4 linked regions of the Drosophila melanogaster genome follow. The protein of the gene in region 3 interacts with the protein of the main gene of each other region in a pairwise test. Each region holds a gene or a part of one and is shown on either strand. Other genes may lie near its edges. The genes, in order: CG6191, cas, KP78b and E23.

Region 1 (4,605 bases), on a different chromosome or scaffold from region 3:
ACGTACTGATGATCTCGGCGGGCTTGTCCTCGTACAGTGTCACCCGCTTGTGCCACTCGTGCACGTTGTGCGGATTCTGGCGCAGAAGCACACTATTCAACAGCAGCAAACGGCGCTCCATGAGGTATTCGAAGCGTGAGAGCCGCAGTTCAACGTCAATGTCGTCCTCCTCGGTGGCCGCCTCATTGGCAGCTACCTGCTCCATACGTCTGTTCAGCGAGAGTTCCTCGAACTGTGCGTATTCATCAAAGACTTGGGTGAAGTCTCTTACGGTGGTCACAGTTTGAATGGCTTCCTCGTATATATCTCTTGCCCGATCAAATAAGCCGGAACGCACATAGTAATCCGCCAGAGAGTTCCACAGGTGGCCCAGCTGATCGGTGTAGCGACGCAGCCCACCGCGAATGATGGCGTCCACGTTCAAGGAGTGCACCTTGTGTGGATTCTTCGAGATGAGGTCGCACAATTCGTTCCACAGCTGATGATTGGACTTGCCGTGTTTGGAAACGAAGTGCTCGTTGTCGACGATGTGCGCCAGCTGCTGGGCAGCTTCGTCCAGCCGATCTGCTTCCTGTAGGTAGTCCACATATTCCTCTGTGTCCTCGGGAAAGAGTTTCAGATATCGACGGTAGACTCGCAGTGCTGTTTCCGGCATTTCAAAGCGGCGTACAAACTGCAAATACAGTGGCCAAATCCTGCCGTGCTGCGTGATGGGCAGAGCCCTTAGAGCCCGATCGAAAACGTGCCGGGTGCGGGTAATCTTGCATTGCGAGGTCATGAAGGCACCGTAGTCCATCCAGATACGTGGCATTTTGTGCATAAACACCAGTGCACGTTCGAAGGCACTGTTGACCTCCTCGTACATGGGATCCGTGGGTATCTTGCCGCGCACCTGCTTCCTGCGAGTTCTCAGGTAATTGTGCCAGATCTTATAGCTGCCAGGAAGCTCTTTCAGAGCACGCTCATAGACCATGTTAACACCATTATTCGGCGCCTTCGCTTTGTGATCAATGTAGCGCAGCCAATGTTTTACGGAGTAGGCGTTTCGAAGGATTTCCTCCTCATACGGCACATCCTCCACTTCCTGTGTGTGAAAAACTTGATAGGTTAGTTGTGATTTACATATATTTCATGGTACTTACGAAATTGATCTCTAAATTCAGAGATTTTATCGTTTTTGTCACCATTTTTCGCGATTTTCATGAAATGCCGCAAACAATAATTTTCTCATGCGCGTCCCACGAAAACAGCTGATCGAAATGGCGTTGCCAGAAGGTTTGAAAAGTAGTGGTATTAAGATACCGCAGCTAATACCAAAGTAATTAAATCCTAATTAACATGTAAACAATATTTTAAGAATACAGAAAAATTGTTCATAAAACTAAGATAACTTTGGCTTGTGTACATTTTTTTTACAAATTGTGAACATCTAGAATTTTCTAAGTGCACCTTATTTAAACGTTGAAGTTATGGACAAACCAAAACAATCGTGAATTTTCTAGAGTACCATTGCGGTATATTTTGCCTCCCTTTGAATTGGTATTTCGCCCTTCGTCCGCTGCCCAACACTGGCCTCAGTTTGTGAATTTTTCGTAAGCCCATCTGCAGATGTTTTCGTCGCTGCTGCCAATATTTTGACGTTCATACCGTTTGCGTATTTCGCAGAGACCAGTTAACGCGCTCGTAAAATCGCAAAAAACACACTTAACGCGATCGTTTGTTCTGTTTTTGTAAACACATTGCAATTGGCCTGCATTTTGCATAATTTACGCAACGAAGGCAACTGCGTGAGTGCACCAACACACACACACACACACACAGCCGTGCAAAAGAGAGCCAAAGAGAGTGAGGAGCGCAGGCGAGTTGGCAGCCAAAGGCAAAAAATCAAAGTCTATCGAAAAAAACACTATAAAAATAGATCAAAATGACGCGCTTGAAACATTTCTCAGCATAGAACGACTATCAATCGAATTAAGTTTTAAGTAATACCCAACGACCGTGGAAAAACCAAGCACAGTGGTAAGTAAAAGACGAGGGGAAAACACGAAAAAACACGTCACACGTGTGCGTGTGCTTGCAAGTGTGTGTGTGCGAGCGTGTGAGTGGGTGGGTGTCATAAATATTTTCGCACACACTTGTTCCTGCATTGATTTTATATTTTTCGCACAGGCTCAAACTTGTGTGTGCCGCCGCACTCCAATTGGTCCAGGTAAATCCAATTAGACTGGATCCTAGGTAAAAAAAAACCACCACCGGAAAATCTATTTCCCCGCTTCCCGAACAGCTGTTTATGATGGTTCTCAAAAATTTTCCACTCGCTCTTGTTGCCCGAGGGAAAATTTTGGGCATTTTAGGGCCTCCCGTATTGAATGTAAACAGAAAACACACACGAAAGTGCGGAAAAGCGCTTAGATTTTCCTTGCCGGCTGTGGCCCAATATCTCTCTCTTTGCCACCCCCTCTCTTCGCACTGTTGCCACCCACTAAACTGACACACTAAGCCGCCCGCCAGCAACAACAGCAACAACAAAGGCGGCTAAAACCACTGCAGCTTTGAGCCGCATGCAGCTTTTTTAACTGCCAGCGGAAAAGCTTTATCAATTCAGTTGGCTAAAATCCCAGCAAAGATTCGGGTTTATTTCAAGGAAAACTTTTAATTCTTAAAATTAAAAATGCCCGTTGTTTTCAAATGAGATTTTTTAAAATGATTATTATGTCTAAAAATTGTAAATAATCTAAAAGAGTTGAAAAAACCATAGCATATTCACTTAAAAATAGCTTAAAAACATTGCTAATTATAAAATATCATATTGAGATGACTTCTGCTAACAATATTATATCATATTCAATATTTTGCCCACTGAGAATGAGAATGTGCTGACCACAATTTCCCCTAAGCCACCCACTGCACTTCAACGAATATTCCAGAAACGCTCGGAGAAAGCTTCTCTTGGCCAAAAGCAGCTTTCCTGCCGCTTTTTATAGTCTCATTTATTGATTCCATTCCTCTCTTCTGTTCTTATTTCTACTTGCAGCCAAAGCAACGCATCGACGCATAAACGCTAGTTAATAATAAAAGTGCATAAAATTATTCGTATTCCAACCATCTTCCGTCATCTAAAGTGCTAAAAATTCGTCACCATGTCGCGTTCAAGTAGTTTGTTTTTTAATTCGGCTGCCAAGTTAGAGACTAAAAAACTTAATTGATTCGATCAAGAAAAGTGAGCAACCAGCAGTGAAAATACACAACAGCAGCATAATCACTTTCGAAACCAGTTTTTTCGTAAAGAATCGCGAAGAGTGTTCCAGAAAAGTGCAACATCACATTCCCACACAGTATATGCACACACACACAAACACACTATATATACATATAGGTACATATATAGCAACATCGGAGCATCCAGGGAAACGACCCACAGCACCCACTTCGGTTAATCTCGCTTGGTAATTAAGGGTTCATCGCCTAATGGCAAGTTCGCTCAACAAGACGAGACACAGGCGCAGACTGGCTGCGATCTCGTTCCTATCGAATATCTCGTTAGATGGCACCCATCGGGACACCAAATTCGGCGCAACATTCGGCAGCAGCCTGCTCTGCAACCAGAATAAGAACCCATCCTCGCTGGGACTCGGCTCGGGGGGCTTTCATCCGCACTATCAGCAGCACCACCATCAGCGCAGCCACTCGGCGACGCACCACAACCACCAGAAGCGGCATCACACGCAGCAGCAGCAGCAACAGCAACAACAGCAACACACCCAACAGCAGCAGCAGCAGCAGCAACATCAGCAGCAGCATCAGCAGCAGCAGCAACACCAGAATGGCGCCCTCTGTTCGCCGCTCCTCTGCAGCGCCGATGTCCACATGGGCATCGATGGCGGCATCGGGCTGGGATTGGGACTGGAGGACTGCACCACCGGTGCCAGCGATGGGGACGGGCATTTTAGTGAAACTGAAAATATGGGTCAATACCTGATGAACGTCCTGCCGGCCGCCGATCACAATCGCAGCAGCATTGTGCCGGCCGAGAGACGCAACATAAAGCGCCCGACCTCGTCGGGTCGTCATAACCACCAGGCACCGGGCAATGGCAATATGGGCAATAAGCTCCAACAGCAGCAGCAGCAGCAGCACAAGTTGCAGCAGCAACAGCGGCAGGCACGAAGTTGCGCCGCCGGCAGCGGAGGATCGGGTGCCGAGAGTGGCAGCGATTCGGACAGCGTCAAGATACCGCTCAAGGTGTCCAATCTGGGCAGCGGCGGTGGCGTGGCCGGCGGAGCGGGCAGCAAGCTATTGCCGCTGAGGGAACGGTGAGTAATCAATGCACAATTCATGTTTGTCATATCAGTGAACTATCTTAGCTTATTATGGTTTCTAATCAGCATTTTGTTAAGCAGTTGCTAGAAGTTGTAATCAAATTAGCTGTATGAAGAGGCAACTGTAAAGATTCTTACCATAAGTTTATATAATATTATAAATGTTATATTAGATCGACTATAAGGGAACCTACCAAAATATTCAAACAGGAAATGTGTTAAGTTATTGCAGCTTCAAATTTATGTTTTTCCAATTAAACGATCTTCTATCTTGTAGACACTCAGA
Region 2 (6,290 bases), 5.6 Mb from region 3:
AACTCGTCCTGCGATAACTCCAATCAACTGAGCTGGCCAGCAACAACACTTAACAAAGGCGACTAACAAAAGTTTTCTATTTCGAAACATTTGTAACTGAATATGAAATTGTCATATGTAAATTCCAGATCCAAATGCAAAAGCATAAACGCGAAGTAAGACTGTGAATGAACCTAAATGTATGGGCTTTTGTTCGCATTTTCATGCAGATTTCCGTACTCCGTTGCCATTTTACAATGTGGCATGGAACCTTTTCTGTAATCAATAGCTCCCAACCCGCTTTATTTGCCTCTCTGCTCTGGCTGCGTTATCCATGTCACTCAATTATGGCAACAATTGGTAAATCCCAATCCCACTTCAATCCCAATTCGCCAACCAAGTGACAAACCATATCCAGGCCTGATCCTGCAGCCTGTACTCTGCTCTGCTCTCTCACCTTGCCCATTGCCGAGTAAAATGCAAATCCAAAATCAATCGTACTCCGCCCCTCGTCCTCCGGCAATCGATTCGTCGATATTCGGGGATTCCCTTCCTGATTTGCATAAGTTTCCAGATAGCGCGCGTGCGCAGTCGATCGGCGCACCCGAATCCGTAATGCGGAGCAAACCCTCCTCCCCGATGTAGTGCAGGTCCATTTGCATAACACTGGCTGGAGGAGCTGGTGATCCGGATGTCGAACTTCCTACCCGATCGCCCGCTCCGCCTCGGGACGATGTGCCAAAATTATGCAAATGTTTTACACCAATAATTTATGCAAATTACGATCCGCAAAGGATTTGGTGATCCTGCGCAGCGGATGTTACACGTAGATGTCGCCAGCTTCAAATCGAAAATGTTTTTTAGGGGTTTGCTCAAGTTCAGAATTTCTGCAAACGTTTTTTTATATGGTAATTTTTTTTTGCAATGGGTCTTAGGAAATATTTGGCATTTTTAATTGTGTTTTTTTGCACGATTGTAATGCAGATTTTTTGCTCGATTGTAATTTTAATTTGCAAATTTGGGTTTTTATTTTTTGCATTTGAATGGATTTCGATTCGATTATTTCAAAAAGGACAGGCAGCTGCTCCAGCTTGATATCCTTTTTGCAACGCGCCAATTTCTTAAAAATCATTTCGATTCCCAGTTTTGCCGAAATTTTTGTGCACACAATTTGCATAGAGATGTGAAGGAAAAGGGAACAAAGATGCGATTCTATACTTTAAACGTTCTAAGATTTGATTATATTTATGGTAATAGGCGAATAAGATTGCCGATGCCAATATTTAGTGTGAGAAAGTATTTTTGAAAATCTTTTTTGAAATCGCTTATGAAAAAAATACTGTAGACGTCGAAATATTTAAAATATTCATCTTAGAATATGTATTTTTTGATAGAATAGAAAATATATAGAGATAATAACAAAAAATTTAAAATAATTAACTATACAGTTTCTTGTGCCCAGATAACTTATTTACCCACTTTCTGCACGTAACTTTGCCGTAATTTGCCGTAATATCTTTGCAAATTGCCTGCGATTTTGGATAAAATTCCTCTGCTGATCTGTGCTCTTCTTTCATTTGCTGTCCCTTTCTAACGCACGTTGGCCATGCGGGATTCCTTCACAAATACACGCTCCTCTTTCGCATTTTTTTTTACCGAAAAACCTCTCTTTTCTAGATAAATTTACATTACCGCTGGCGTTTTATTGGTCGAGAAAAGCGAGCAAAAAAACGGAAACCAGCCGAAAACAAGCTGGGTTTTCCCAGAGCATTTTCCTGCGAAGGGTCGGTTAAAAAACTAGGGGATGAAGGTCGAACCACCACCACCAACGGACTTCTCATTTTATTCGTTTTTTAAGAGAGCGAGAGCGGCGAGATCGGTTTTTTAAGAGAACCGGTGGCGAGAGGGTTGCACTTGGGCATGGATTTGCGCAATTTTTGCTATATTAGCCGGAGGCCGCGGAAGAGTTGAAGCAGTTTGAGCCTCGCAGCCGAACTTTGAGGATCGCTGAGACGAGACGCCGTGCAAGAAAGTCGATCCAAAATCCGAAATTCGAAATCCGTGCTGTGATCTGTGCTGAATATAGTGAAGAAATCTTAAAGAATTTTCAAAAAGAAATCCCAGTGCTGTGCTGAATATATCCGCGAAAGTGTGCCACAAAAATGTCCAACCAAATGGAGTTTATTATGCAACTCTACATGATGAACTTGATGAAGCAGCAGCAGCAAATGCAGCTCCAGCTTCCGCAGCAGCAACAGCAGCAGCAGCTGGCTGGATACACTTACACACAGAACGAGGATATCTCTAGCAGCACATCCGTGCAGCAGCAACAGCAGCAGCAGCAGGAGCAACTGCAGCAGCCACAGCCAGATCTCCGCAAGACAAGAACGCACAAGCGCATTAGCTCGCAAAACACCAACTGTAGTAGTAGCCGTAGTTGTAGTCCCAATAGTAATTTGATTGCTTTTCAACCACAACAATACCCAGGCGCTACAGCGGCAACTCCTTCCACTCCCAACAGCCACCCCAGCAACCTGGTCAACCAGATGCTGCTCCAAAGCCTGCCGCCGCTGACGCAGCTCATGTTGCAGCAGCAGCAGCAGCAACATTTGCTGACCACCTCCAACCTTCTACTAACACCCACCCACACCCCCAGTTCGCTGGGCAAGCAGGATCCACTGCAGCATCCGTTGTTGCTGGGCCAGTTTGCCGGCTCCGAACAGATGGCCACAAATAACTTCCTTCAATCATCCACAGTGACCTCCACGCCCATCGAGAGAGAGAAGGCAGCCACACCAGCACCCTCCGCCGGAGCAACTGCCGGCAACCTTTCGGCGGCCCAGGTCAAGTTTGAGCAGGAGTCCGCCGACGACGATGAGGACGATGATAAGCCGCTGTCCAGCCTCACCAGCTGCAGCTCCTCGGGCCACACCAACGCCAGCTCCGAGAAGCTGCTGTTGTCGGGCGTCCATCCGCTGGAGTCAACCACCGACAGCCTAGACTCACCCAGCATGGTAAGTGATCCGGGGATCTAGAAGGATCTTAACAGTTTCTTTTATCTCGTTTTATCACCATCAATTTTAAAGATACTGTCACTTGCAGTGGCAACTACGTAGTCAAAAAGCTATATATTGCGCATTTTTGTATTAGTACATTTGATTTAAATTCTAAATTCATCCCAACAGCTTGGTTCGCCATACTTCACAAACCTTTTCCAGTTGCAAAATAGACCATTTTCCAATTTCCAATTCAGAAAGCACTATATTTGTTCCCTATTTTGCTTTGTTTTTTTTTTTTTTTGGCTATGTCCCACGCTCTGTTGCTGTAATTTGAGAAAAAACGATTCGTGATTTTTGAGATTTAAGTGTGAGAGTAGCCAGAAAGCTCGCGATTCCGGGGAAAAGAAACAGCTGTGTCGGCAACGCGTGGGTTCTCTTGGTGGCTCGATCGCTGCCCAGCTGGGCACCAGGCAGTCTGAGCTGGGGATCTCACAGATGCATCCGTGTGTTGGTATTGACTCTAAAGTTCTTCCACCCTCTTTTTCCCACTGCAGTATACGCCCGTCAAGCAGCCGGCGGACTCATCGTACGGACTCATCACACCCGTCGACAGTGATCTGACCCCCAACACACCCCTCCAACCGACCCAAACAATATCCCTGCTGACGCCGCCGTCGAGTGAGCAGAGCAAGAGCCTGGTGAGCCTCTCGGCGGCCAGCGGCCTGGATGCTCTGCTCCAGAACGAGGAGGTACTGAAGAACCTGCGGAAAGTGTCCTCCTACCTGGAGTGCGAGAACAGCCTGTGCAGGCAGGAGAACCTGCGGGAGCACTTCCATTGCCACGAGGAGCCCTGCCAGGGCAAGATCCTGAGCAAGAAGGACGACATCATCCGGCACCTGAAGTGGCACAAGAAGCGCAAGGAAAGCCTCAAGCTGGGCTTTGCCCGCTTCTCCTCCTCGGACGACTGTGCACCAGCCTACGGAGAGGGTTGCGCCTACAACTGGAAACAGACCCACTACCACTGCGTCTACGAGCACTGTCCCAAGGTGTATGTGAGCACCAGTGACGTCCAGATGCATGCCAATTTCCACCGCAAGGACTCCGAGATCGTGAACGAGGGCTTCCGGCGCTTCCGGGCGCACGAGACCTGCCGCATCGAGGATTGCCCCTTTTTCGGCAAGAAGATCTCCCACTACCACTGCTGTCGCGAGGGATGCACCCACACCTTCAAGAACAAGGCCGATATGGGTAAGTCTACTTGGAAAGCTTATTAGCTGAACTTAGTTAATATATCATATATGTATTTCTCCTTGCTTAGACAAGCACAAAACTTACCATCTGAAGGACCACCAGCTGAAGATGGACGGCTTCAAGAAGATCCTGAAGACCGAGGTATGTCCCTTCGACGCCTGCAAGTTCTCCACCGTCTGCAACCACATCCACTGCGTCCGCGAGGGCTGCGACTACATCCTGCACTCCAGCAGCCAGATGATCAGCCACAAGAGAAAGCACGATCGTCAGGACGGAGAGCAGGCGTACCAGCAGTTTAAGATCAAGCAGGACGTGGAGGAGTCCTCCCTGGATGCCATGCCCCAGCAGCAGCAGCAGCAGCAGCAGCAGCAGCCCACCAGCCTTAGTCAATCCCAGAGCAGCAGCTCTGTATGCGGCGGCAGCAACACCTCCACTCCACTCTCCTCTTTGTCCGCCGAGCACTTCCTGGCTCGGAAACGCGGCAGGCCACCCAAGAAAATCGTAAGTTTGTCTGTATATTTTGGGTAATTTTCCGCGACATTAAATAGGCATATTTTCTCAATCCACCACAGCAACTGCCAGCCGACGCTCAGCAGTCGGAAGCCAAGCGCCTGAAAGTCGAAGACGAGTCCTCTAATCCCGCCATGCTCCTGCCCCAGTCCCAGCCAGCAGCCGCTGTGCATCCGCTGACAAGTGGACTCTTTCCCGGTCTCCTGCCCGCTGCCGCCGCTCCTGGAGTGGATCCCACAGCCCCTAACTTCCAGCTCACCCACCTGATGGCCCTCTTCCAGTTGCAGAATCCCCTCTTCTACCAGAACCTCTATCCGGGAATGACCCAGAATTCCTCCATGCTCGGCAACCTGGCAGCACTTAGCGCCGCATCGGCAGCAGCGGCGGCGGCAGCGGCGGCAAATGGAGCCGGAGTCCAGCAGCCGAAGGCAGAGTTTAGCTTTAAGCCAGAGTTTAAGGAGTAGGAAGGATGCGTGTCCTTAGGGTATTTTGCCAGCTACTTAGTTTGACCGACGGACGTTGGACATTGTACATACGCGCTTTAAGCAGGTTTAGGTGGGTTTTTTTGTGGGTTCAGGCAGATCCAGGACAAGGCATCCTTCCCTCCACAAAAACCAACTCAGCCACACTTTGAGAACCTAGAAGTCCCCTATACAAAGTGTAGCTGAATTGGCTTTTGCCAAACATTTTCCCCTTTAGCTTAGATTCTCTCAGTGCCACATTAATTTTTAAAATTTTCAGCCATTTTAAATAAAAAGGAAGAACTTTCTGAATTTAAGTTTGACTAAACTGTGATGTTTTCATTAGAGTAGCCTCTTTTAATTGATAGAGCGAGTGCAGGCTATGCAGGATATGCAGGACTTAGGAGACTTGGATTGTCAATAACATAGCGTCTAAGCATTACATTGTATGTGATATACTAATAAATAATGGCTAATTGTTTTTGCTTTATAATTTAAGGGAATAATATTATAATTCTAATTATAAACTTTAGTAAAATCAGCATTCTTCTATAATAAATAAGTCAACATTACCTGAATAAATTTTATTATGCCTCAGAGCTTATTATTTAAACACAAAATGCTTGAGTTATTGGGGGTTACTGGAAAATACAATATATAAAGTAACTAACATATATGTATACCCAACCACACATAAAACACTTAAACATTTGATTAAATAATTTATGACTTTATTTTGTTTTCATGTAATTGTTGGTTTTACTCATATGCTAACAGAAATCAGCTACACAAACTCAGGACGCCTGATAAAAACCGTCCCGCTAAGCAATATTTAAGTACTTTACACAAAATCAATTATTTTTTCCTTTGCTTGTATTTTTGTATTTTTTATAGTTCATAATCGCATATATGTATATGTAAACAATCAATACAATCCAAATACCATAATCATAAGCATAACAAAAGAGATTTCAGAAAGTTGTATCCTAGTCAAGAACAATGTACAAGCAAGTATCATCATTTTATACATTAGGTATTTGCTTTTAGTTTACATTGCAAAGTGAAACCCTGCGTGAAATGTACAAATAAA
Region 3 (7,589 bases):
CATTGGGAGCAGCTATAGGGACAGGAATCCGACTGCTGCCTGGCATAGCCGTAGGAGTTTCCCTAAACGAAGATCCCGATTTCTCGCTGCAGGCTGTTGAGCGCGGTTTAGCAACGTCCAGGAGCATATAGGTGCAATAGATGTCGTCGAACTTCTGGTTCTTCAGCGACTGCTCTACATCACGAGGTTTGTGACCCATGTTCGACAGCAAACTCAATCGATTTACATCATGCAGATCCATAGGTTTCTCTTGAAACGGTCTCAAACCGTTACCTTGTTCGTAGCCCATGTTGATCCAGCGATCCGCCATGACAGCCGATAAACTAGTACGTTGCGTTGGATTCAGAACGAGGAACTTCCTAATAAGACTCTCGCATTCAATGGAGACGTAATACGGAACACGATACTTGCCACGTAGAACACGGTCGCGGAGCTCCTTCAGATTGGTTCCATCAAAGGGTAAGGAACCACTCACCAAGGTGTACAGCACCACACCCAGTGACCATGAGTCCACCTCCGGTCCAGAGTACTTCTTTCCTCTGAACAGTTCTGGGGCGGCATACGGTGGACTTCCGCAGAACGTCTCCAGTGGCGCTTTTGGTTCAAACGTGGTGCTGAAACCAAAATCAGCGATCTTCAATTTCATTTGCTGGTCCAACAACAAGTTCTCTGCCTTTAGATCCCGATGCACAATGGACTTGCTGTGACAGTATTCAATAGCAGACACCAACTGGCGGAAGAGCACCCTGGCATCTCGCTCCCGCATCCTTCCGTTTTTGACCAGATAATTGAAGAGTTCTCCCCCGCTGACATACTCCATTACCAAGTAGAGAGTCCTTTCCGACTCGATAACTTGCAAGAGGCGCACAATATTCGGGTGGTTGAGCTTTTTCATTATATTTACCTCTCGGTACAACTTCTGCCGGGCAATCGTATTTAGCGCAGTTTTATCGATCAGCTTAATGGCCACTTCCCGACCGGTGGGCAGATGAATCGCCAACTTGACTTTCGCAAAGTTGCCCTTCCCAAGGGTCTTGATGATCTTGTACACTCCGTAGCCGTTGCCATTTACATAGGACTGAAACTTAGGGCTCGATCTGCCTCCACTGCTCCCAAAACATCCCCCCACATTCTGGGCAGCTGCAGAAGGGGGCGTGGCGGTAGTGGATATCGATGTATTGGGACCGGGATCGTTCTCCTTGTCGGTCGTTTTGTTTGTGTTTGCTGCCGTCATTTCTGGTAGGATTAATTTATCTAAATCCCAGCAAAGCGTTCGCCGCACACTTGTAAGACAAACTGATTTGCTGAGTTTTGACTTAATTTCGTTAGAATGCTCGGTCAGGGCCGACTGTATCACTTTCTTTATCACTCTATCATTCTATCTCTATCACCTTGACATTGCCCCAAACAACCCGACTTCTGGCTATTTGGTGAGGTTCTTGCGCTGCTCGGTGACATCCTTTTCGTTCAAGTGGATTACCCTTCGACCGAAACGTGCGGTCAGCTTGGAGAAGAAACCTACCCGCGAGGCGGGCTTGGTGTCGTCCGCGGATAAGGGTGGCGTCTGATAGCTGTCCTCCTCTCCGCCTGCGCCATTTCCTGATCCACCGCCCCGTTTGCCACTGCGCGCTTGGCCGAAATGAAAAGTGGCCCGTGCCACATTTTGTCGGGTGAAGGGCTTGTCGGAGGTCTTTTCCACTGCTCCACCTCCGGGAATCCGTTCTAGCAGTCGAGCACCCATGGCCGGCGACTTGGGCACCAGAAGTGGAGTGACTGCAGGTTCCGCTTTCTCGTACAGGGTCGTGGGCCGCCTGGAGGATCCCTGAGCTTGATTCGGAGTTTGGGCAACGGGGTACTGGAAGCGCGGAGGAGTGTTGGCCAGCTTTTGGGTCTGGGCCAATTGTCGCTGGGCACTCAGCAGCGTGGGCTTCACATCCATGTTGGCACTGGCTCTCTTTGACTGCGGAGTGTGCGGAAGACTCGAAGGCTCCGGACGTCCTTGGCCGCTCGTATGGTTGGTGGCCTTCCGGGCTGGTGTCCTGGCTGGAGTGCGTCTTGTGGGCTTGGCAGGCGGTCCCGTTGGTGGCGTTGAAGTCGGTGTATTGGGTGCATTTGCCAAACGTGGCGCAATGGGTCTACCCGATGCTGAGGAGGAGTGGATGGGCGGATTCTTGTCCAGCGCAAGCGTGACATGAGCTATGGTAACAGTGGGTGTGGTGATATTAGGAAGCGGGCTACTGACAGCTGGAGTAGTTAAATCCACTGTTGGTATAGCCTCCGGTTTCGTACTGCGGTTCGAGGAGCGCGGCTTGGCCACGCCCAGGAGCATGTATGTGCAATAGATGTCGTCGAACAGTTGCCCCTTTACAGACTGCTCCACATCACGGCGCTTGTGGCCCATGCTCATCAGTAAATCGAACCGGGCTGCATCCTGCAGCTCCATGGGCTTCTCGCGAAACGGACGCAATCGGTCGGATTCATCGTGGCCCAGATTTATCCACTTATCCGACATCACAGCAGAAAGCGAAGTGCGCTTGGCGGGATTCAGGACCAGGAACTTTCTCATTAGGTTTTCGCAGTCCATTGAGATGTAGTAGGGCACACGGTACTTGCCCCGCAGGACTCTTTCCCGCAACTCCTTTAGGGTGCCTCCATCAAAGGGCAGCGAACCGCTGACGAGAGTGTACAGCACCACTCCCAGCGACCAGGCGTCCACCTCCGGGCCGGCGTACTTCCTGCCCATGAAAAGTTCAGGGGCAGCATATGGTGGACTCCCGCAGAACGTTTCAAGCTGGGCGTTGGGATCGAAGGTATTGCCGAAGCCAAAGTCCGCTATTTTAATGTTCATGTGCTGGTCCAGCAACAGGTTCTCCGCCTTCAGATCCCGATGAACCACAAACTTGCTGTGGCAGTACTGAATGGCGGACACCAACTGTCGGAAGATCACCCTGGCATCCCGCTCCCGCATCCTCCCGTTCTTCACCAGGTGGTCGAATAGCTCGCCACGACTCGCGTACTCCATCACCAGGTAGAGTGTCCTCTCAGACTCGATGACTTGGAAGAGGCGCACGATGTTCGGGTGGTTCAGCAGTTTCATGATCTTCACCTCGCGGTACAGCTTCTGACGTGCACTCGTATTGAGCTGCGTCTTATCGATCACCTTGATGGCCACTTCACGACCGGTGGGCACATGAATCGCCAACTTGACCTTGGCAAAGTTTCCCTTACCGAGTGTCTTGATGATCTTGTACACACCATTGCCATTGCCATTTACGTACGATTGAAACTTGGAATCCGTATTTTTACTACTACATGCACCGTCACCCAAATCCTGGCCAGCTGCCACAGTAGGCGTGGCTGGTAGGGCGGTGGCATTTGAGGTAGTGGGCGTGGCTGGCTGAGCAGTGGCGCCTGTTGTGACGATAGTACCCGTGAAATGGGAATCCGGATCGTTCTCCTTGTTTGCTGCTGTCATTGCTGTTTTCTCACTCTCCTTACCCGAAGATAAGTCTAGAATTCCCAAGCTGTTGTCCACGGACATTATAATACTGGGAATTTTGGAGCTCCTAGTCTGAGGTCGATTCTGATTGCCCAGGCGAACGTTGCTCCTATTCAGTGGATCTGCAAGTGTGCCGAGCACGCGTCGTTGGATGGTAACTATCGCCTCCCCTCAAGCTGTAATTGCTGGGTTTCGTCGGTCATCCGTCATCGGGGCCGTTGTTTGCACATCTGCTCTATTTCGTCACCCTCCCGACAGTCTGAGCTTTAAGATAAGAACGCGTGTTTGCAACCCTCAGCCACCCCGAATCCCGTGCATGGCTGATAAGCGGCTCGTCCTGCTCCTTGCGGCAGGATCACTTTGTCTCGACGCACGACCGCATGAGTCGTTAGTTCTTTCAGGAGGCGCTATCAACAACCCCCTGCTTCATGTGGCACGAGCCCTTTGTGATCCTCCGGTGCGATCGTGTGCCCCTGTTGTTCTTGTTTGCGACTGGCGAGGATATATCCCAGCTGGTGGTATTCGGTTTCCTTCGTCAGCGAGGAGTAACAGCTGCCTTCTGGTGAATGGAGAGAAGAATGATTCGATTAGATGTTGGAAGTAATCGGAATCGGGAATTCAATGGTTGCTCTTTATAGAAACTCGGTATTAGGGTAATTTCGTTTCAAATGAATAAAACTAATAGTTAAATGTACATTTACAACCGAATTAGCAACCTTTTTTTTTTCAGTGAAAATTTGTTTATTTGACTAGTCCCAAATTATAAATTGTAAGGGAATGCCAAAAAAAAAACTATCAAAAATATGACTTATTTATTATACATACGAATTTTTGTTTGCGAGAGTATATATTTTTATCCGTATTTTTCTAATCACTAAGAAAGTTCACAGAAACATTTGAATATTGCATTACAGTTCGTATTTGCTCTTATCGACAAATTTTAAAACTTGACTTGTATTCATAATATAGTGACGATCTATCAAATTATTTCTATAGACCTTGCACCACTGTGCACTAAGTGATTTGCTCTCTCCCCTAACAACAGAATTTCAATCGACCTGAAAAACTAATCTCTTCCCTTGTGACAAAGTATTTTCTTCGCCTCTCTGTTCTTTCAATTTTATTTTTTGCATGTCCTGCCGATCCCTAGCTACACTCACACACGCACACACACACATGCACGTCATTACCTATGATGAAACTACCCTAATGGGTTTTACCTACCTATGGATGTATTGTAAAAAATAAAGTACTACAAAGGAACGGGTCCTTAATCTGCCTTTTCTTTTGGCCTACTCGTTCGCTTGCATTTCTCTCTTTTGCTTTGCGTTTGTGTAACGATTTCAGGTTTTCTCTGCCTGCTCCTTTGTGTGCGTGTGTGTGTGTGTGTGTGTAAGGGCCTGCGTGTCCTTGATCCTGCTGACTTGTTTTGCTTGCAACCTTTTCTCGTCATCCCTGCTTTGCCTTTTGTCTGGTCTCCTTTTCCTCCGGCTCTTCGCTTCCTTTTTCAGCTCCTTTGCGTATCCCTCTCTCACTTACGGTATTTGCGTATGTGTGTGTTTTTGAGTTTTTGTGAAATGTTGAAATTTTGAAAATGCAGCTGCTACTTTTGGGTCTTTGTATTTATTATTTTTGCCTGCTCTTCTTGTTTTGCTTCCCCTATCATCTTCTTTTCTCTTTTTCGCAATAACAACATCGCAGATCTGTGGAAATTTGCAATAACAACAACAGTAACAACAAGTACTTGGCTTGGCTTGGTTTTAATTCTGGGAACTGTGATCTCTTGTTGGGCTAGTGATCGCTCCCCTTTTGCCGCCAAGTTCAATGCACCCCACCTAGAGTTACCCCCACTTTTCCCACCCCACACCAGACCCCCCTCTCTCTCTCACACATTCTCTCGATTTTCCCAAGATACCAACACATGTCAACATGAACATGTGCGGGTCTCGGTCTCCCATCTCGTTTCCCCCTTTTTCGCCTTTGTTTTTCTGCCTGTCCATGGGATCTTTGGCTTGTTTTTTCCGAATGCGCCTCTCCTCTCCTTCCTTCTGGCTTCTTCTATTTTGATTCTGGTTCTCTGGCCGTTCTTCTTTGTTTTTTCCTTAACCACTGAGTCATCGGCGACTTTGGGGATCTTCAGGCGCCTCATTCTGTCTGGCACTCATTCGTTAACACACTTACTTCGCACAAAGCGATACAGATACATACAGTTGATCCATTAGCTGACCTTAATAAAACGCCTCTTGTATTGAGATCCAAAGAACGCCCCCCTTAAAGACACGCACAACGGACGCAAGATAAGGCATTCTGGTACCCAAGGGATACGATCGGACTTATCTGACAATGGATGCGAAACTCTGGAACTCACAGTGACCACCGCGTGCTTGCTTAATTACGCTCTTTACTTACGCATCGGTCCATTGGCGATCCCCCCTGGCGGCAATCAAAAACGAATTAGCGTTAATCCACTCCACAAGTGTACCATATCGTTTCGTATCCGTATCGTTGAGCGAGACCGAACTTTCAGATACAAGGCGCGCCGTAGTACTGAAACGCATTGAGCGGAATATCTGAAGACAGGTCTTGAACTGGAACTGAAACGTCTGAGACGGGCTGAGCAAAGAGAGAGCGAAGAGCGTCTTTGTGCTCTTCTTACGCTCAAAAAAATGGCCAACTGATTGCGATCGTGTGCTCGTGCAGCGGATTTGAAAAGAAACGCATTATTAAGATTTACGCCTGCTTCAACTTTTCTCTTTCGTCGTCTTTAAACATAAAATTTAAAAAGAGAAAATTAAAATTTTAAGCAGTTTGATTTTCTCTCTTTCTTTTCACTCAATTTTTGAATTATGTTGCTCTTCCTTCTCTCAATATCGTTTCCTTGAGCGTTTCTTGAGGTGTGACGTCACGGATGCGAAGGGGAGGCACTTCGGGTGTTTCGTGCTTCGTCTTTGTTCGTCTTTGCGGCGAATTTGGCCTTTGTCGTGGTCTTCGTCTTCGTTTGAGTTTCTTCATTGGTATGGGTTATCTTGCGGTGGTGGTGCTGGCGACTGCGATGGTGTATGTGTGCCATCAAGACTTCCCCATTCGTCGTCAACAGCTGTGTCGTCATCGTGTCATCGGTGTGGGAGTAGCCGATGGCCATATCTGTCTGAGCTGTCCGAGTGGTATTGGTGCACCAATAAGAATCGGCCAGTGGTTCCAGTGCTTCTTGAATAACAGCCCCATCCCCCGCGACCATCTCAACGCAATCCGTTGGAGCGCTCTGTTTTGGTAGGGAATGATTAAAAAGTCACCACAACAAATAACAATAATAATAATAAAATGCATTTCTTTTGGCCCGCAAAAATTTCTTTCATTTGGGCATCGCTTTGGCCGGCTGAAAGGAAAAATTATAATGACAAAGTAGGCGACAAGAAGGATTGGATGGGTGGGTGTTGGTTGGTCCGATTGTAGACGTAGACGATGATTATAATAACAGTTTTCTGTGATTTCTCCTCGATTCCCGATTCGTAGTCCCCTCCTTGAAGGCAGGGCTTAATTAAAAAGCTTTTGGCCATTCACTTGGAACAAAAATTAACCCTAACTTCAAGAACATTTCCATTCAAAGTGCATATCGTTTGAAGGCAAGAAAATGAGAACTTTTAATTCATCGCCATATTCAAGCACTTTCATTTCAAGAATTAAAAGTCAACTTAAAAAAGTGAACTTATTTGAAAGAAATTTTTGCTTGCCAGTTGGAAACTAACAATATTCTCTTGGCTTTGAGATTCGAAATTGAAGGTGTTTTGGGAATTTTGGTGGGGGAGAATTTGCATTTAGATGAACCGAAGAAGCCAAGACAAGTAGGCCACAGTGAAATGCTAATGAGAAAGCGGGTAATTCAGCATGCAGTCGATAAGGCGGCTGCCTTTGGCAAAAGTATCCGCCAGATACACGTGGCACGCACACCAGCTGACGCCCCAAAAAATAGGTGAACATAATGCGATCCGACCGACGAAATCACAGTTGGCCACCAGAGGACACGCGCCACCTGATCAGGATGCGATATCTTTCTTCGGCAATATTTGATCGTGCTGAATGCGGAAAAAGC
Region 4 (4,960 bases), on a different chromosome or scaffold from region 3:
GGATTTGCCGAAGGGGATATCCCCAACGTGCTGAGTGATACCCTAGTTAGTGGCAGGAAGCTTCAGTTCTAGAACGAGTTTTCGAGCCGATGGGCAATCAATTAATACTGCAAAAGTGTTCGGGCCTACACTGCCTGCTAAAAATCTGATAACGAAAAGGCACACTGTTTCATGTAATTGAAATTCTAGGGCAGGCTAAAACTGCTCAGCCAAAAGTATATCGCAATTGATGGCTGACTTTGAAAGCAAACTTGACAGCTTGAGTACGAACCGATTCAATCAAAAGGAACATAGATTCGCTATCGAGCTCCAAGAGTAGAAGAACATAGATTCTCCATTGAGCTCCAAGAGTAGGAGTAATTTGCTCCCGCTCGAACTGTACAAAACGAGCTGCAACTCACTGTCAACCGAATGCAACCGGTTGGAAACGCCACATATTCATCCGGAGAACTGTTTTTTTTTTTTTTTTGGAAAAATCCTGATTTACCCTTGGATCGCCTCCACTTTCCCCTCCTTATTAAGACGAAGTCTGCATGCAATCAGTGCGGACACAAAAAAAAAAAACAAAACATAACACACACACACCTGAATTTATGTAGGTACGAGCTTGGCTCGGAAATTGGGTCAACGCTGATTGAACACTCACCTTTTGGCATCAACTAAAATGCTTTTGCCTATATTGGCCAGACCATTGGATGACGTTAGATTATCCGTACTTGGTATCGTTGTCTGTGATGTGTGCGTAAATTCTGAGGACGTTGAGCTGGAAGATGACGACGACGTCGAAGATGCTGATGATGAGGCAGAGGAGTCGCTGCTGGCCACCGATGTCGCTGCTGTCGCATCCGATGTTGCAGGCGGGGATGCAACGCTTGCTGCTGCTGCTGCTGCTGCGGCCACTGCCGATGTTGCCGGCTCCACTTCGATCTGGAGGCGGCAGTCGGCCACTATTTTGGCCAGATTGCGACGGCTGGCACTCACCAACGGTACCTGCTCCGTTGTCTCGTTGTCATTGTCCGATGATCCCATATCGACTGCCTCAACACTTTCCACGATCATCAAATTCATTGGCATTTTTTCGTAATGAGTCGCCGCTGCTGCTGCCTCACACTTTGCCTTTTTCTTGGCTTTGAGCTCCTCGGGTTCCTTTGGAATTTTCTGAATTTTTGCCAATTTGCGAGGAGCAACACAGGCGGCAGCAACTGCAACTGTTTCCTGTTTAGCTGGTAGTGTTGTTGCTGCTGCGGCTGTTGTTGTTGTTGTTGCTGCTGCTGCTGCTGCTGCTACTTTTAATGACTCCTCTACAACTTGTTCAGCTGCTCCTGCTGTCGAGTTTATTACCAACGAAGTGGCCGTCGTCGTTGTTGAATTTATAATTGCCGGCTGTTGTTGCTGCTGCTGCTGCTGCGACTGCTGATGCGGCTGCTGATGCGACTGCTGATGCTGCTGCTGATGCTGCTGCTGATGTTGCTGCTGGGTTGCCAGCGCCGCGGCTCCACCTTCTGGTATGATTGTTGCAAAAATTTGTTCGCCAAATATGAAAAGATCCTTGGAAATAATCATTATCACCTTTTTGTGAACGCTTAGCTGGATGTTGTTGGTGTTGCCGCCACAGTTTTAAATATACGTACGTGTGTATTGGGGGGATTTTAAATGTAAATCTTGTTTAAATATATCTATGTGTATATGCGTATACAACTTTTTGCTCGTCTTCTGCCTGCACTCGCCTTAAACACGTTTCGTTTCGTTTCGTTTATTTTAATGCATTAAACATATTTTGCGGCTCTGGGAACTTGGCTTTTTTGGGGATTTCTTTAAAATTTCATAATTCCCTGGCTTGTCTGGCTTGCCTCCTTTTTCTTTTCTTTTCCCGAGTTGTGGCCGACTGTAATATAGTAAGAGCAGAGAAGAGTACAGATATAATTAATATGTAAGCCAAGTGAAACAAGTTGTGATATAATTTTAAGATTTAAGAGATTACATGATTATGAATACACAAAATTATTTACATTTTCGACAATGATGTCGGAAGGTAAAAAGTCAGGCAAGCACGGAAACAAAGTGATGATTTTATTATTATGAGCAGTTTGCTTTTTGCTGCACAATCCCAGTGAATTGCATTCAATTTATAATTTATTGTTACTAGGAATTCGTTGCTTATTCAAGTTGCAGTGCTAATTATTCACGCGTTATTCATGCGATATCTCTGTTATTCACTGGAATCAGATGCTCGCCAGCTCTCACCGAAACTATTCACTTCATTTCAGGCTTCACTTAATTCGTAAAAACGTTCTGCAATTTTAATAATTTATTTAAACTTGAAAATGTTTGCCTCGACTTCGAGGAATCTCCTCAAAAACTCAGATTCTACACAGCTTTTTGGCTTGAGAACTTTTCCGACAATTTCCTATATGCACTGCCACCGGCACAGAAAAAGATAATGAAAAGGAATCGCAGAATATCGGTGAGAATTGGGGAGAATCAGAGAGAAGTGGAGACGCCTGGCGAATTTTGTTATATTTGTCAATTAGCCCGCGCGAAACAAAGCGCCAGAGCAAAACGTCAGTTTTCATTTTTAGCGATTTCAGTGTGTTTGAACAACATATAATATAAGGTAAATGCAGTAATTGCAATAACAACGCACCCAAAAAGCGAAGGAAGGTAATAAAATTCTTTGTTGCTTTTTCGAATTTGATATTAAAAATCGTCAGCACTTTTTTTGCAATTTAAATGATTTCTTTGCCTTTTTTTTTCGGCTTACTTATTGAACATATGTAGGTTTCTTGTAAACATTTTTGATAACACGCGTGTTAATTATTGGATGGGGAATTACTCGATTTATAAAGCCGAAACGAAACACGGACAGATCGAACGAAAAGTAAAGTAACGTAGAAACACGACGAAAAACAGAGAGCTATTCCGCTTTTCCACACAACGCGAGTTCGGCGCGCTTCAACATTGAAGAAAACATCCAACGGCGCCCGTTGATCTGAACGTACTGAACTGATCGCGGACCGTTAAAGCTAAACGCTTGCGCCAGCGCTCCAAAAGTCGCCGCTCATTCATTCCCGTTCTCTCGCGCTCTCGCTCTCGCGCACTCTCCCCCCACACTCATTCTCGCCGCCTACGATCACCACACGTGCGTATGGAGCTTGCACCGAGAAAAATCGCCCTAAGGTGTATGTTTTAAGTCGAGGAATGAAAAACCAAACAAATTATGGCTTGCATTCAGAAGGCATGTAAGAGATATCTCTGCAGTATCGAAAAATGATAAAAATTAAAAAATTAGATGATAAAGTTAAAATTTTATAAAGTAAGTTAAGAAATAATTGATTACGTTAAAATTAAAAATCCCTGGCCTTCTTTTGTGTAAACACTATTTAATACGAATTATAGTAATAAGTAGTTATATTTTTTTAAGTGCAGTCTCTCTCCCTTGCTCTCTTTCTATTACATGAATGTTAAGTTATCTCTGCGTACATTGCATTACAAATGTTATGGGCTTACAGCGAGATCACTTCCCCTGCTGTTCCCTAACAGTAACAGGGCTCAACATTTTGTTATCCATATTCAGTTCCCAACGAACTTTGGTAATCTTCGTTGATAAATAAAGCGAACCAATAAAAGTTGGTTATTTAGTTTGACTGATCTCGAATTTCAACTTGGTGATAGAAATTTAAGGTCTTGGCTGGCAACCCAGAAGTCATTCAACAAGTTTCGAGACGTTTTTGGAGTAGCAAGCGGTTTTCGGGCGATTTAATGTGTCTCGCGAAACAAAAAGTTTTACTAATTTTTGAGTCTGTCCTACGTTTCGATATCTTTTGAAGGCAATTTTTCTTCTTTACAAATTATATTGTACTTATCAAGGAGTTGGATCAACAATGAAATTTTCTATACCTTTTTTTAAGTACTTGAAATTAAAGTTGACAATAAAATATTTGTTGGTCTGCGAGCCTTTAATAGGGTACAATTAAAACAAATTAAGTCTCTAGAAGATTCGCTTCATAATTTCTTCTTAATGCTGTTAGGCAAATGCCCGCTTTCCAATCTTATCAGTCATTAAACTCGAGGGTAACCGCTGCGTATACGCAATTTGAATGCGTATACGAACCGTGTGTGCGTGCAATCCGCGGATACGATTGTGTGCGTGGGTGGCCAGAGGGCGGTAAGGGGAAAACGAGGGAGGAGGAGATTACACTTAGAACTTGGAACGATAATACAATTATAAGCCTTAAAATGTGTCACCTGCGCTGGGTCGTTGACCAAATCAGATGGAAAATAACGCACAATTGCATATTAGGCCTAAATAATGATGATTGTTCAGTTTGCAGCGAAATTATTAAGTTTATTGTGTTGCCATAAACTTGGAGCGAATAAGTCGCCAAGTTGCCGCTATGTTTTTTTCTCGTTTTCGGTGCGTAGCTCTCGGCTCTCTATAAAAAAAATTATTTTTTCCTGTTGCTGTGTTGGTGGTTTTACTGTTGTTACTGTTTTTTATTTATACGCACAATGTGCAAAATGTGCGAGACACCCATACAGTGGCACCAATTCACGCACACGCACTTGCTCTTAACCTTGAAAAAACACACAGCCAATTTGTTGTTGCTCTCGACTTCTGGTGGCTTTCTTTTTGTTTTTGTTTCGTTTTTTTTACTGAACTTTGTTTTTGTTCTACCGCTGATAAGATTCTTATTTTCTTTCTTTTTCTCCTTAATTTGCTCTTTTCTTCTTCTGATGTGTGCTAGTGCGTATGGTGGGCCATTTTTCTAAGTGTACGTGTGAGCGTACGGCAAATATTGAATTTCTAGACAAATTTTATTAAGCGATGTCGGAATGTGAATAGTTTCTTGGTCTTTCATTTTGTATGTTATTTGCTAAATTTTCTATTAATTTAATTTCTTAGTCGACTATATACACGTATGTGTATTATATACAGCTGTGTTGAAAATTGTAGCCAGTT

Evidence for each region.
Region 1: the proteins of KP78b (region 3) and CG6191 interact in a two-hybrid assay, tested with the Drosophila melanogaster proteins (one large-scale study listed by BioGRID).
Region 2: the proteins of KP78b (region 3) and cas interact in a two-hybrid assay, tested with the Drosophila melanogaster proteins (one large-scale study listed by BioGRID).
Region 4: the proteins of KP78b (region 3) and E23 interact in a two-hybrid assay, tested with the Drosophila melanogaster proteins (one large-scale study listed by BioGRID).

Annotation. Positions count from the first base shown.
Region 1 is NT_033778.4:13,590,308-13,594,912, reverse strand, and holds the start of CG6191 (uncharacterized protein), read left to right. Parts: upstream 1-1,573; 5' UTR 1,574-2,019; intron 2,020-3,034; 5' UTR 3,035-3,140; coding exon of another isoform or gene 3,141-3,206; 5' UTR 3,207-3,468; coding exon 3,469-4,313; intron 4,314-4,605. Other genes in the region: fand (fandango), read right to left, coding at 1-1,084, 1,143-1,187; CG45088 (uncharacterized protein), read left to right, coding at 3,141-3,206.
Region 2 is NT_033777.3:5,712,464-5,718,753, reverse strand, and holds cas (castor), read left to right. Parts: upstream 1-1,948; 5' UTR 1,949-2,141; coding exon 2,142-2,993; intron 2,994-3,532; coding exon 3,533-4,226; intron 4,227-4,296; coding exon 4,297-4,730; intron 4,731-4,801; coding exon 4,802-5,203; 3' UTR 5,204-5,779; downstream 5,780-6,290. UniProt on the Drosophila melanogaster protein: Transcription factor that specifies expression of key genes in developing central nervous system (CNS). Essential for many, if not all, late developing neuroblastoma (NB) sublineages.
Region 3 is NT_033777.3:11,347,105-11,354,693, forward strand, and holds the start of KP78b (KP78b), read right to left. Parts: upstream 6,028-7,589; 5' UTR 5,909-6,027; intron 4,059-5,908; 5' UTR 3,542-4,058; coding exon of another isoform or gene 1,424-3,541; 5' UTR 1,235-1,423; coding exon 1-1,234. Other genes in the region: KP78a, read right to left, coding at 1,424-3,541.
Region 4 is NT_033779.5:3,351,830-3,356,789, forward strand, and holds the start of E23 (early gene at 23), read right to left. Parts: upstream 3,001-4,960; 5' UTR 2,645-3,000; exon of another isoform or gene 2,010-2,644; intron 1,886-2,009; 5' UTR 1,564-1,885; coding exon 647-1,563; intron 1-646.